Linked DNA regions of Rhinolophus ferrumequinum. The protein of the gene in region 1 purifies or fractionates together with the protein of each later gene. This does not show direct contact. Links are inferred from orthologs where the notes say so. Each region holds a gene or a part of one and is shown on either strand. Other genes may lie near its edges.

Region 1 (6,937 bases):
CTATAAGAGAAATTCCATATTTGAATAAGATTTTGCATATCTAAGCTGAAAAAAATAATTATGGTAAAATATTTTACAAACATAATCTCAGTTACAAGGAATCCAGTCATTATGTAAATAGTGAATAGTTAGTTATGAGGAAGGCAAATATCAACTATCTATAAGCTATACTGTTTAGTTTAATCTTAGCAACCTTACAGGGTAAGATTATTATCCCCAATTGACAGATGAGAATGCCGAAGTTTAGAGATTACTGACATGCCCAATGTCCAACAACTAAAATGTGGCACAGCAGGATTTGCATATAAGTCTCTCTAGCTCCAAAGCCCGTGCTTTCCCCACTATACCAATGGCTTTCAATGGGGGCAATTTTGATATCTACCAGGACATATTTGGCAATGTCTGGAGACATTTTTGATTGTCATTCCTGGGGGGGAGGATTGCTATAATATCAATAGTGCCAGTGTTGAGAAACCCCGCACTATAAGTATCTTAGGACAAACTATTCATATGGCTTTCTTTAAAAAAAACATTTACATGAAGTAGATTAATAGTAAATCTTGATCAATCTTGATTGTGTCACTGGCAAAAAAAAATAAGTTGCAGTCAGTTTTTAAGCATTGTCTTATCAATATCTGAACCTCTGAATTTAGCTGACCATATGTTACAAAGATGATTCTCAAGCTACTAAGACTAAGCCTCACTATTCTTAAATCTACCACAATCACCTAATCTCTAATAGTCATGCACAAATCTACATCTGAATCTCCTAGTTCTCTACTGAGCTCCACACTATTTTTCAATTACATACTGCATCTTAAACTCACCATTTCCAAAGTACACTTATTTGTCCTCCTTTAGGAAACTTCTCTTCTTAGGTAGCCGTTTTCTGTTTGGGATGTTTCTACCCTCTCAGAGGCTAGAAACCTAGCCATCTTTGATGTCTCACTCTCTCTCACCCCCACAATCAATGAGTTCCCTCTATTCTACTCTAAACCTTCCATGCAAGTGCTACATCGTGCTCACTGGAGGCAGAGCCGAGTGGATAAAAGTTCTAAAACCGAACTGCACAGGTCTGAATCCTGGATGCCGCATAAAATCTGTTACTTTTGGGCAAGTCACTTATCTTTCAGCGCCTGTTTCCTTATCTACAAAATGAATTTAACAGTAGTACATCATGGGATTCTGGAGAGGCTACATGAGTTAACAGATGTAAAGCACTTAAGACAGTATCTGACACATAGTAAATACTCAATAAATATTAGCTATTATTAATTTTATTATTACTAGCTAAAAGTAAGGTACTTTGAAAGGTTATCCTCTGAGAATGCAATTGGAAAAAATCAAGGAATTAAAGAAAACATTAAATTTACTTTATTTTGGGCTACAAAGGTACCATAAACACACCAAAAACAAATGTATTAAACAAATGTCCTAATTTTTCTAAAAATATTTTCTTAAATAAAAAAGGGATTGGCCCTTTAAACTACTAAGAGAATTTACAACAATGTGTGATTTAAAAGTTTTAGTAATTTCCCAAACACAATAAAGGTATCCTGGATATAATCACTGACCAGCACGTCTAGATTGTGATAGCAAGAAAGAAAACTTCTGTAGAAATAAATAGCACCATAAAGGAAGAAAAAGTGTGTCCTGGAAAAGAAGATGCTCCTCCTTTGTACAAGAAGCGGAGTCCAAAGACACAAAATTTGGCAGTGTTGCCAACATGTTTCTGAGAAAAAGCTGTTTCTGATCCTCAAAAGATCCTTTCCCATCGCAGAGAATGATTTATCAGACATTCGTAGCTGGATCATATTGGCCAAGTCATTCAGCTTTCCCGTTCTGATTTTATCTACTCAAAATATTATATACCCAAAATGTTATCTTACTTAATATTTGGTTTTCTATATACTTCTGGCTGGAGGAACAGAATGTGCAATCACCAAAAATTAATACCTAGCCTGCCTGATACTTATATTTCTCAAGGTAAATTCGTGACCCAAATGCTACTTGTGATGGTTCAACCAGATGTAATCCCTGCTCTCCTAAAGCACTTTACTTATACTTCAACTATAGCACTTATTTTATTCATTCTGCCTCCTTAATGCTAGTTGTTTACATGTTTGTCTCTTCCACCAGACTGTGAGTACCTTAAAGTATATAGTCCCAATTCCTTTTTTGTTTCTAGTTTCCTCCTGTGGAAATTTAAGTTAGTTGATTCTTAAATGTTTGATGGATAATGAATGGATGAATAATAGCATCGTGTGGATATTCTCTTCCAGGTAAAGGCTGAAAAGTTTGCACAAAGATTATACTTACCTTATTCTTTTCATTCTGAATAATTTCTAATAGCTGGTCTATGTGCCCTTCATCTATGCATCTTTGTCCTGCTAACTGAAATAGACCAAAATCTTCTTCTTTGAAGTCTCGCTCTTCTAGGATTTGCTGGCAAACAAACAAACAAAAACCAAACATGTTTAGGCAAATAAAAATTCAATAATGACTTGATATATTTTCTCTCTGAAAAAAAGGAAATCTGTTTAAATTGTAGGTAAGTTACACATAAACATACGTATGAAAATTAGGATTAGCCTAATAAATACTTTAGTGAATGATCCTGAAATCCACTATATCAAAGAAACCTTTAATAAGGATTAAGATTAAAAATTTTAAAGGTTATTTAGAAAAGTATGTCATTTGGAGAAATAACCCAATTGCCTTCCTGCCCTATCACTATTTATACATAGGTCAAAAAAAGCAAGGATTAAAGAAGATAAACAATTCGAGTGACTACAAATATAATTAAAAATAATCTATGCCCTTCTCATATTTTGAAAGATATTTAACTTTACAAAAAGAAAAATTACTTACACATCTCTTTATTACGGATTGAAGTTCCTCCACAGCCATTCCTCCTTATTTTTCCTAGCTTTGAGACTGAAATGTACTAACATAAAACACAGTTAACTATCAGAAATATTACATTTAAGTATTAATAAGTGATATTTCATTCTGATGAATTTTTAAATACAATAAAGAAAATGTAGTTTTAATGCTGAAATGCTACTACTAAAAGTAGTCTGTTAACCTAAGAAAAGTTTATTTAAAAAAAAACTATTGCACCTTTTCAAGTTTTCTTAAACACAGCTTTGCTTAGTGTAGTTTTGAAAGATACATCCGAAAATAAAAACCTCTAGAGCACTCCCAAAAGGACGGCAAATAGGGACTACACAAAGTGCATTGAAAAGGCAAAGTGTTTCATTTCTGAAAACATTTCCAAAAGGTGGGCCTAAAATCAATTCTAATCAACAGGGAATTTCTCATTTTTTAATGTCCTACTTGACAAAAATTGAAGTCAACACAACTCACCCAGAATGGGTGGAAGTTCAGATGCCCTCCAGCCCCTGTGTGACCAGGACATTTCCCTTAAGAAATGAAGTACCCAAAATAATCAATCCAGTCAGTGAGATCAACCGGCGGCGCTCAGGAGAACCCCGTTCCATTCCCGCTGGCCATCGTTTCTCCCAGCTTGAAGGCCCGGCACCAGCTCCGCAGGAAGGGCGCGCGGGTCCGGGGGTCCTCACCGCAGCGCGCTCCAGGGCGGACAAAACCCCAGCGCGCGTGCGGGCGGCATCCAAGGGAAGCCATTTCTCCTGATTCCTGCTAGTCGTGGCGCTCGGGCCTCACCACTTCGCCGGGCCTAATCGGCCGGCGGCACCGCATCCTCCGCGGCTCAAGGCCCGCCGCGAGCCCCCGCCGTCCGGGACCTCCCGCTGCGTCCACTTACCCGCCAGGACTCTTGCCCCTTTCAGCGTCCTCCTCCACCTCCTCTTCTGGCCGCGTAGGCCGCTCTCCGAGCCCCGCCCCACTCCGGTCGGCCCCGCCCCGCGCTGCGCAAGGGGAGGCGGAGCCTCAGGGGGAAACTCTAGGGTCGGACGCGATAGTCGGACGACGCTCTCCATGGCTGAGTCGGCCTGGCAACCCTCCGCGGGCCGCAAGGCTGGGGCCCCGCGCCCCCGCCGAAACGCCGCAGGTAGGCAAAAGAGCCTCTTTCCACGTTTTGACCCCGAGAACTGAGCCCCTACAGGGTTCTAGATTAAGGCGCGCGGGGTGCTCCCGAAAAGCTTTCTCGGGGGTGGAGGTCTTCGGGGACGGAGAAGGCCAAGAGCTTCCCACCGCCGTCCTCGCGCCCCCTGGGAAAGACCTTCGGCCGAACCCCCAAATCTTTACACTAGCGTTCCAAGATTTTCCCCCAGATGGCCTCTGAGGGAAAGGACAGTAGAGTTCCTGGAAGCCTAGAGCTGGAGTCGCCAGAATGGGCAAGTGAGCAGGGCGGCATCAGCCAGCGGTGTGCGGCTGCCGGTGAACCTCCCATCGGTCCTTCCATTTGTCCTGCGGCTTTGGTGCCCCTGTTCTCTGAGGTATTGGAGAATCACCTCCCTTCTTGCCAGGGAGTGAACATTTGAGGGCCGGAGAGAGGCTTCCCCTAAAAGTACCCAGATTTCAGATTTTTCACGAGTGCTTAAGTATGCATCTATGATACAGGAGAAAATTCAATCCCGAAGGAGATACATGTTAACCAGGAAAAATTTGGGAATAATTAATTTACAAAAACAAATTGGATTCCCTTCCCATTTCATTTTAAATATGTGGAAAAGAAGAAAAGATGATATACAGTTTATTTGGGCAGGAATCTGTTCTATAACCTAATGTGTGCAGACTTGACTAACTTTGTTTTTTAATTTTAGGTACTAAACAGACAGGTGCTTTGAAACAGCAAGATGCTTCTAAAAGGTATGAAAACTACTTGGACAACTGCATTCACTTAGCTGTTTATCTCATATTAATTGAACCATTTTTAAAAACAATAATGGGTGCTACCTTAGAGAAATTTATTATGAGAAGGGGAAGATCTGAAAGCACTATAAATTCTCACATAGACAGTTATATCCCCCTACTCCATGCTTTAAGAAAACCAAATCAGACATTTTTAGGTTGCTGGTGAAGGTGTATGAGTATCTGTAGAAAGGTGTACATGGGAATAGACGTTCCTGAATTAACCAAGTACTCTTTTTCCACCTCTTTGTATACTCCTTTTTTTGCTTTATGTGTTAGAGACTCCAAGAAGCCTTGTCTGTCCCATGTTTGTATCATGTCCAAATTTTCAACAAGAAGTTGTCCTGTATTGTCTCTTGGCTTCTAAAAAGACAAGATTTATCTTCTGTCACAAAATGTTTCTAGAGTAGGAGTAGTCTGAGATGATTAAAAAATACATACCTGTGATACATCATTTTATGAAGTGTTGGCTTTGTCTTAATTCAATTAATCTTTCAAAAATATTTACTGAGTGTAAGATATACCAGACTTGTATTAGGCCCCAAGGATATGGTTTTGAACAGAATAGACATAGTTAACTAGTTGAACAGAGAAATACCAATTAAATTATCAAAAATAGATATATAATTACAAATTGTAATAAGTGCTGTAAAGGAGGAGGAGTAACAGGAGTCCAGGTTAGCTGGAGTTTTGTGGGTTTTTAGGGAAGGACTTTTGAGAACAGAATAAGCTGAGTCCTGAAGGCTAAGTAGACATTAATCAAAGAGTAGTAAGGAGAGACCTATAGTCAGAAGTGGGAGTACGTGTGACAAGAAAGGCACGGTCATTTAAAGAAAGCAGAGATGCCCAGGATGATGTGCCAGCATTCTGAGCAAGGGAAGTAAGGAGCATAGGAAAAGGTTAGAGAGGCAGGATTCCATTCATATAGACCTAATAGGCAATGGTGAGAAATTTAGATTTTCTAAGTGCAAATGGAAAAACTTTAAGTAATAAAGTAATGGAATTTAAGTTTAAAAAGTTTTAAGGTGTTAGGGGAGGTGATCATCTGGGAATGGAGAAATTGGATGAATTGGAGATCTGTTTTGGAAAGTACAGGCATACCTGGGAGGTAGTACGTGTTCAGTTTCAGACCACCACAATAGAGTGAGTTTAGTTAATATTGATAATGATGGTAATTTGCAACTTTCTTCAACACTGATCTGACCACAAACCTGAAGAGATTATATTTTATTTTGAGCAGATCATTCAAGATGATGAAACAATTAAAAATCCATGGGGTAACCAAATAGTTGTTGAGGGAAACGATCCTTTATAAATTTATTCCAATTGCAAAATACTTCTATATTCAATCCAAATGAATAGTTTTAAGCCAGAAATTAAAGAACTTTGCAAAAATATAAAATAATTCCACTATTCACACTAAATATTTTATTTTAATTTTTTATTGGGGAATATTGGGGAACAGTGTGTTTCTCCAGGGCCCATCAGCTCCAAGTCGTTGTCCTTCAATCTAGTTGTGGAGGGTGCAGCTCATTGGCCCATGTGGGAATCGAATCAGCAACCCTGTTCAGAGCTCGCACTCTAACCAACTGAGCCATCTAGCCGCCCCGACACTAAATTTTTATTTCAAAATGTTAACATGTAAATTGTATATTATTATTAAATGAATTAATAAATAAATGGTTTAAAATTTTCTCACTTTTAATCCTACTGTGGTAAATATAATGTACATAAGCAAAAGCTCGAATTTTAAAAGTACCAGGTCTGCCAGTTAAGTTCGCGAACTTGCCACTATGCACTTACATTGGCAGCATTGTACAAAGAGCTCAGTAAGGTTTCATAACTTTAGTATATCAGTGTCTCACAGCTGTGTTCATGTCGACGTGTGGCGGTGTCTTGCTAAGTGGCATTCATTATTGTTGTTGCATGTTTTTGTGTGCCATCTCGCGAATGTCTGTGCTTGAATTAGAGCAATGAACAAACATTAAATTTCTCGTTAAATTTGGAAAGAGTGGAAGTGAAATCAGGGACATGTTAGTCGAAGTTTATGGGGATAATGCTATGAAGAAAATTGCAGTGTACAAATGGATTAAATGTTTTT
Region 2 (6,943 bases), on another chromosome or scaffold:
TAATTCAGTTTGGTGGGCTGATCTTATTCAAGTAAATAAGAAACTCAAATCTAGGTTTACCATGGAAGCTATTGCATATAGCATAAGAATAAATCATCCATATATTATTGGATTAGAGTAGAATTTCTGGGAAATTCAACATTATTCAAATCAGCTTTTAGTATCTGAGAGAAATAGGTGTACACCCCTGGGATATTACTGTCCAAGTAAACTCTGATCTTCCCAGGTGGAAAAGCAGAGATAGTTCCTGTCTTTTTCTTTTTCTTTTTTTTTTTTACATGAATACTGAAAAGGGTACTACATAAATCTATCACTGAAAATATTGGCAGTACACACAGGAATAGCTGATAATAGGGTATGTGGATTTGGAACCATAGGATATCTATTTAAAGCTCTGAGATCCTGTGCAAATCTCCATCCTTTCCCATTGGGTTTCTCTACTGGAAGGATAGGAGAATTACAGGTGCTCACACCTGGAATGATAAGCCCCCCGTTAAAGGTAATCTTGTATAATGAGCTAATTCCAGCTGGTGTATCAGGCTTCAAAGGATATTGGCAAATAATTAGGTAGAGGCAAAGAACTGTCAATAGTTACTTTAATGGGAGTGGCTAACTTAATATTGCCAATCAATATCTGTACTGGAGAAAGCCTAAAATTGTATTGGAACATCCTGTAACAAACACTCCGTCAGTATCAAGACTAGTTTCCTCTCATATTGTTTCTTTTAAAATCATTATTTTCCCATTCCCAATCTGATTCATTTAGTCCTAAATACATTTCATCCTTCTGGGAGGATATGTGAGTATCATTGGTGACAAAGTCTCACACTATCAGGTGAATTGGGGCAGATTTGAGTAGTAAAAATAGATGTTGCCACTTAACATTTCCTAGCTAGAGAGGAATGGGTTCTGATTTAAACAGACATTGGTTGATTAGATGTCCCTACCATTTGTACAGAAGCTTTACTCCAAGGGAGAGGGCAACTTAGCCTGGTGGTGTTAACAGAGAAAGTAGCCCCAGTGTTAGTAAGAAGGGGAAAAGCCCTCATAGTCCTTGGAGCAGCCCTATGCTCGCTTCTATTTCTTTTATTTTTCTTAAACCTATTTTAGTTTCCTACAATCCTTAAGGTAACTTGTCTTTTTACAATAAAAGCAGATTCCTCTACAGTAGTTTCCCTAGCAAAATTTTAACCGCGGATTCCCTTCCCCTCCGCCCAAGACCAGCTCCTCTCCAAAGGGAGCTGGAACAGAGTGGCAGAAGACAGATGGAGGAAAAGGCGAGCAGGTGCAGACAGGTAAAGCACACAGTGGGACAGTCGGAGGAGAGGGCAAAGTGCGGTGCTGGCACTGAGCAGCTGCAGGAACCTTCTTCAGTTTTGAGACGGTATCTAAAATTTCCTTACTAACTTCCTGGAGAGAAGACTGTCTCTCTATTCCATTTCAGAGGCTTCTTTCTATTTGCCAATTGAGGTAAGCATCCCATTCCATTTAGTTTGGTTTTTAAGCCGGCTTTTTCTAATTGTGCACAAAAAATATTAATTTAGATGTCGAAAGAGCTCCATTTTGGCCATCTGAAGTTGATATCACTTCTAGTTAAACCTTTCCATGTCTGTAAGTACTTGCAAGTAGACTCCCTAGAAACTGTACATCTGCAGGGGAATTAATGGAGGTGGGGTCTGGGAGCTTGTCAGCCTTAGAGGCACTACTTCCCACGTTAATTTTTAGTTTTCTTTTGAGATCTGCAGAGTCTGCACAAATTTCTAGTGATATTGTGTAGTGAGTTCAAGTGTGCTGCTTATGGGTGGAGCTCCAAGGGGCTGTTACCTCCCGAGTCGCTCCAACCCTCTTATGTGCCTCAGTTTCTCTCCCCAGCTGTCTAGTACAACCATGAGGACTCGGAGCGCTAGGTAACCAGTCTTTATGTGCGCGTCCCCGGACGAGTCAAATATTTAATTGCAGTTGTGTATTTAATTGTGCATTTAGTTGTGTATATAAATGTGCAAATATTTAATTGCAGTGGCCTCTGAGGCCACTGCATGTTTTGAGGAGTACCCCCAAACACCTCCACAAAGATTCTTAGTCACCTAAGAATACCCGAAATTCGAGCTGGAGGGAGTAAATGCCCCTTATCTTCGGAGTTCAACAAGTTCAGACTCTCATTTATCCAGCAAAAAGTTTTGTTCAGACTCGCAGTAAACAATTCCAATTGAAAAGCCAAAATTAAAACCAGCCACCCATTTTTCCCTCCTGTCCCCAAGTTATCTTAACTCTTTATCCTTAACCTGGGTTATCTCAACCCTTAACCTTTAACGCCAACTCGAGGTTTAAAATACAAGCAAACAAACAGCTCAAATAAAGTCAGGACCTCCTACCTTAAAACAGGAAGGTCCAAAATTCCAAGAAAAACTCACTCAAGTTCACCCGATGAGAGGCAGGGAGCCGGTGGGGCACAATGGGCTCTGCTGGTACCGAGCACCGAATCCTGGTCCGCAGGGTGGTCCTGGGTGGGTTTCTTTGGAATCCTGCTGACTATGCAAAGAAATGTCAACGAAAAACATCCAGAAAGAAAAAGCCTAAGAAAAAGCTTATAAGAGTGTACTTGAGTCAAAGTGACGACAACTGCTGGGAAGTAAAATCTCAACGGACTAAGAAAATGCTCCGCGAAATGGCGGATTGCAGCTTGTTTTATACAGAGAATCAAAGGAGGAGGGTTACATGAAATCCACTGGTGGTAGATTAAGGAGGTGGGAGAAAGCAAAGCGGGGAAATCTCTGGGATTGGATAAAAGTAAATTCGAGAGACAGGTACTTCTTTCACATAGGTGGGTACAGGACAGTTAATAGTTCTCATAGAGATGTTAACCAAGGGACAAGAATAATAATGAGAGATCGTGTACTTTCCTGCTCTGGTCCGGAAATAGCAATTACTGACATTCCAAGGATGTCATCTTAGGTGCAAAAAGACAATAGACAGGTCCTCTTAAAGGCACAGATGAACTTTATGAAGGAAGCTTTTGGCTAAAGATACGACTTCCTGCCATGGCCCACTTAGTTACGAAATTATTTTTATGCTCACGCCATCTTATGTGGTTATTTTCAGTCTCCTGAACGTGTCAGGTTTAATGTGTGGCCCCTTTTCCGTCCACAGTCTATTATGTTCACTGTCTATACTCTCCCTGGAATGTAAGGGGGTGCTTGGCTTCTTCCCTGCCCTGTGGTTGGCGGTATCTGATTGAATGAATGTATCAATGAATGAGAAGTTACTCATGGCCTCCTAAGTGTCAGGGGCTGGGCTGCTGGCTGAGCTTCCTGTATGAACTGGGTGGTGGGGTATCCAGGCAGAGGCGGGCTGGGGTTCAGGGGACGAAGTGGGGAGGACAGAGGTGGGAGCCCAACATAAGCACCAGGAGCTATACCAACCTCCCAAGCACGGGAGCCCCTTTAGATCCTCAGCTAATCCTCTAAAATGGAGACATTTTATAAATTCCAATGTACAGACAGGGAAAAATGAAGCTGGGGCCATTAGGTTGGATGTGATCAAGAGGCAACTAAGAGGACCCCCTACAGTTGGATGCATAAATATTTATGTAGCGTCTCCTAGGCCACCCATCCGTTCCTGGGAGGAGAGCAGACCCCCGATCCCATCCGGGCCGCAGTTTCCCCGCCCTCCGTTTTTTCGCTTCTGCCTGTAGGGATTCTAAACGGCCGGGACGTCCCGAGGCGGGCGTTGAGCGGAAACTACAACTTGCGCCCAAAACCACGCGAGACCTTCCGAGGCGAAGGTGGGCGACGCCATTCGCACGTCTCTCGCGCAGCCAACCATCTCTCTCGAAAGGTTCGGGTTGCCCTTGGCGCTGCTGCTCCCGGAGGTCGCTGCGTTCAGGCGTTCGCTGGCGACAGCCCTGAGCTGAGTGGGGCCTGACCGGGGCTGGGCGCAGGCTCAGTAGGCGCGGGTCCCGCCGGGCGCAGACGCAGTGAGTGTGAGTGGCGGCAGGCATGGACGACGAAGAGGAGACCTACCGGCTTTGGAAGATCCGCAAAACCATCATGCAGGTGAGCGCGGAGAGGGCCGGCCTCGCTGCGCCAGGCGAGCCGGACACGCAGCGGTCCGGGGGGCGGACGATGAGTGCAAAGGCTGCAAACGGGAACCAGCCTCCACGACCCCCGCCCGAGCGGGTGGAGTGGAGGAGTTGGACCAAGGCGGCTCCCGGGGCTGCATCGAGGGTCTCTGCAGGCCTAAGGGACCCCACAGACCCGCGCGCGGCCCAGTCGTGAGTCCGAGGTGCTGGAGTCGGGTCTGTCTGCCTAGGATGTTCGCCCTCTCCGTGTCAGGGTCTTGCGGACGTAAGAAAGGTCCGAACGACTCTGTAGAGAATATTTGGAAGAGTTTATTTGACGACATGCCAAGAAGCAAATCCTTCGATCCCAAATGCTTCGAGTTCTGCAGTTTCTTTTGTGCATTTGGAATTAAGGAGGGAAGGTGAGGAAGATGACAGGGAGGTGGGAGAAAGCCAGGTGGAACTGGATTAGGGAATAGTTAACGAGATTAACTCTTTGTGAGGGTGGTAACGCTGATTTCAAAGGTGTGTGAACCTAGATGCACATGAACAATGGACAGGCCAAGACAAGCCTTTTACTAAGAAAGTTATACACCTGGGTGTGACCACCCCCCGTGACCTTCCCAGTTAGGGGTTTAGGATCAGATCACCCTGTGAGGTTAACTTCCCATGGAAGCCAGTTTTCACCCACTGCCTTACTTGAGCTGGAGAGAGAGAGAGACAGTACACGAAAGACCACCTGGTCTTCCACTTGTTTACTTCCTGGAATCCTCCAGCATTACCCCACGTACGTGACACAGAATCCCAGTCTTGTGGGGTTGGAAGAAACCCGGGTCAGCTGATCTGACCTGCCATCCAGTGCAGGCATATCTCTCAGACCTGTGTCCGGTGGCTACTTCAACGCCTCAGCCAGCAACTTGGAGTTACTCTAGATACTAGAGTGACAGCAGCCAGCTGGCTAAGCAGTCACTATATGCCACATACTTTAACCCACCCCACGGAAGAGGCCAGGGTGATCCTCGGAGGCCCACGGAGGTGTGGGGTCTTGACCAAGATCACCCAGCGGCGCAGGAATCCTGCCGGGACTAAACCTGCGCAGCCGCACCCCGCCTCTCCACCGCTTTGTGAAGCTACGACAGACAGGGACCAAAACACATGTGCTTCAGGCTGACGGTGGGTGTTGGGGATCCTGAGAGGGAATCAGGCTGTGGGGACTTCACAGAGGAAAGGGGATGGGTGTAGGGCTGCTCTCTGACCTCCCCTTTCTTCAATGGGTCTTCTAGTCAGCCCATTCAAAGAGCCCCGATTTCTGAGGTGAGACCCAGAAGTGCCACCCTCAGAGCCCCTAGAGTCTACCCTTCCCACCTGGCTGTCTCCCTCTGCCCCAGACCCCAGGGCTGGCTCTGGCCTCAAAGAGCCCCACCTTAAGTCCCAGCCCTACTGCTATTTGCTCCCCAATTACGGCTGCCCCGAGGTTCAGCATAAAATGACACTATGGACGGCAGCTTGTAACCGGAGCAGTGCAGGGGCAGCCTCAGAGGCACCCGGTCTTTGTCCCCACCTGCCCTGTCCCTCTTCTCTGGCCTCTGCACACACCTGCCACACGGTCCCAAACTCCCTGCGTCATCCTCACGGTGGCCTCATCACGCCCAGGCTCTTGCTGCACTTCCCCCTCTGCCCTGGGGTCACCTGGCTCTTTCTGTCCACAGCTGTGCCATGACCGTGGCTACCTGGTGACGCAGGATGAGTTGGACCAGACGCTGGAGGAGTTCAAAGCCCAGTTCGGGGACAAGCCAAGTGAAGGGCGGCCGCGGCGCACGGACCTCACAGTGCTGGTGGCCCACAATGATGACCCCACTGACCAGATGTTTGTCTTCTTCCCAGGTGAGGGCCTTGCCAGTGCCTGAGGTGTCATGGTTCTAGTCGGGCCAGCCGAGCGGCAGCGCAGGGTCCAGCTCATCGCAGCCCCCTGCTGTGTGACTCAGAGTCAACGGTGGCCCTTTTCCTTCTGCCTACCCTGAGGAGAGAGCTCCTTCATGCTGTGGGTGATACCACTGACCTCTGACCCCTCCAAGAGCCTTTTCCAGTTTCCTCCTCAATCCACTTCCCCATTCTCTCTTCCTCAGCCATTTTCTCCGACCAGGATTACCATAGACCTTCCCGCCAGGGCCCCAACCACTCCTGACCTCAGACCCACTCTGTCCTCTCTGCCCCACCTCTCACCTGTGAGTGCAGCTTCCACTCCCACCAGCTCCTTCCTGCACTGCTGCTCACGGCCCCCCGCTGAGCCCCAGATTGAGTGACGAGCCCACTTAGGGGTGTGTTGGGGACCCCTTGTTCCTCTGTCTTAGTGTCTAACCCGCTGGTGTCGACTGGCTCTAAGGCCTGCAGAAGTTAGGGGCCAGCAGTGTCCAGCATCTTGGGGCACCCTGCACTGAGAATCAAGGGGCTGGGCAGACAGTGTTTGCAGAGCGGAACCTTGTCGCACTTTTTCAGAAAAGTGTCCTGTGTATGAGATGTGGTTATTGAAGCCCTTGGTGCCTACTCATTGGCGTCCCATGGAGCCATCTGCAGACCTTCAGGGCCAGGACTAGGAGGTTTGACGGCTCTTGTGGGTCTTTGGTGATGCTGGGGCCACTGGCCCTGGGACGTGCTGCAGAACAGGCTGATGCTCCTGCCTGTGTTGGTCTGCTTCAGCTGCCATAACACCAGCACAGAACAACAGCCATTGCTTGTCCCTGTCACTAGAGGCTGGAAGGCCAAGATCAAGGTGTCCGTTGGGTTGCTTCTGTCTCAGGCCTCTGGCCTTGGCATGTAGATGGCATGTCTTCCCTGTGTCACCACAGGGTCATCCCTCTGTGTGTGTCTGTGTCCTAATCTCAGATG

What was found. Proteins that work in one complex are often made in the same cells at the same time.
Region 2: the proteins of RPAP2 (region 1) and POLR2E purify together in Homo sapiens (affinity purification with mass spectrometry; 4 studies listed by BioGRID and IntAct, counting the BioPlex papers as one, with this or other methods). This does not show direct contact. The link is inferred for Rhinolophus ferrumequinum from reciprocal best matches to the Homo sapiens genes RPAP2 and POLR2E.

Annotation. Positions count from the first base shown.
Region 1 is NC_046292.1:69,719,920-69,726,856, forward strand, and holds the start of RPAP2 (putative RNA polymerase II subunit B1 CTD phosphatase RPAP2), read left to right. Parts: upstream 1-3,907; 5' UTR 3,908-3,960; coding exon 3,961-4,033; intron 4,034-4,748; coding exon 4,749-4,794; intron 4,795-6,937. Other genes in the region: GLMN (glomulin), read right to left, coding at 2,320-2,445, 2,872-2,910.
Region 2 is NC_046301.1:61,883,766-61,890,708, forward strand, and holds the start of POLR2E (DNA-directed RNA polymerases I, II, and III subunit RPABC1), read left to right. Parts: upstream 1-3,843; 5' UTR 3,844-3,995; coding exon 3,996-4,052; intron 4,053-4,701; exon of another isoform or gene 4,702-5,212; coding exon of another isoform or gene 5,213-5,230; intron 5,231-5,766; coding exon 5,767-5,941; intron 5,942-6,943. UniProt on the Homo sapiens protein: DNA-dependent RNA polymerase catalyzes the transcription of DNA into RNA using the four ribonucleoside triphosphates as substrates.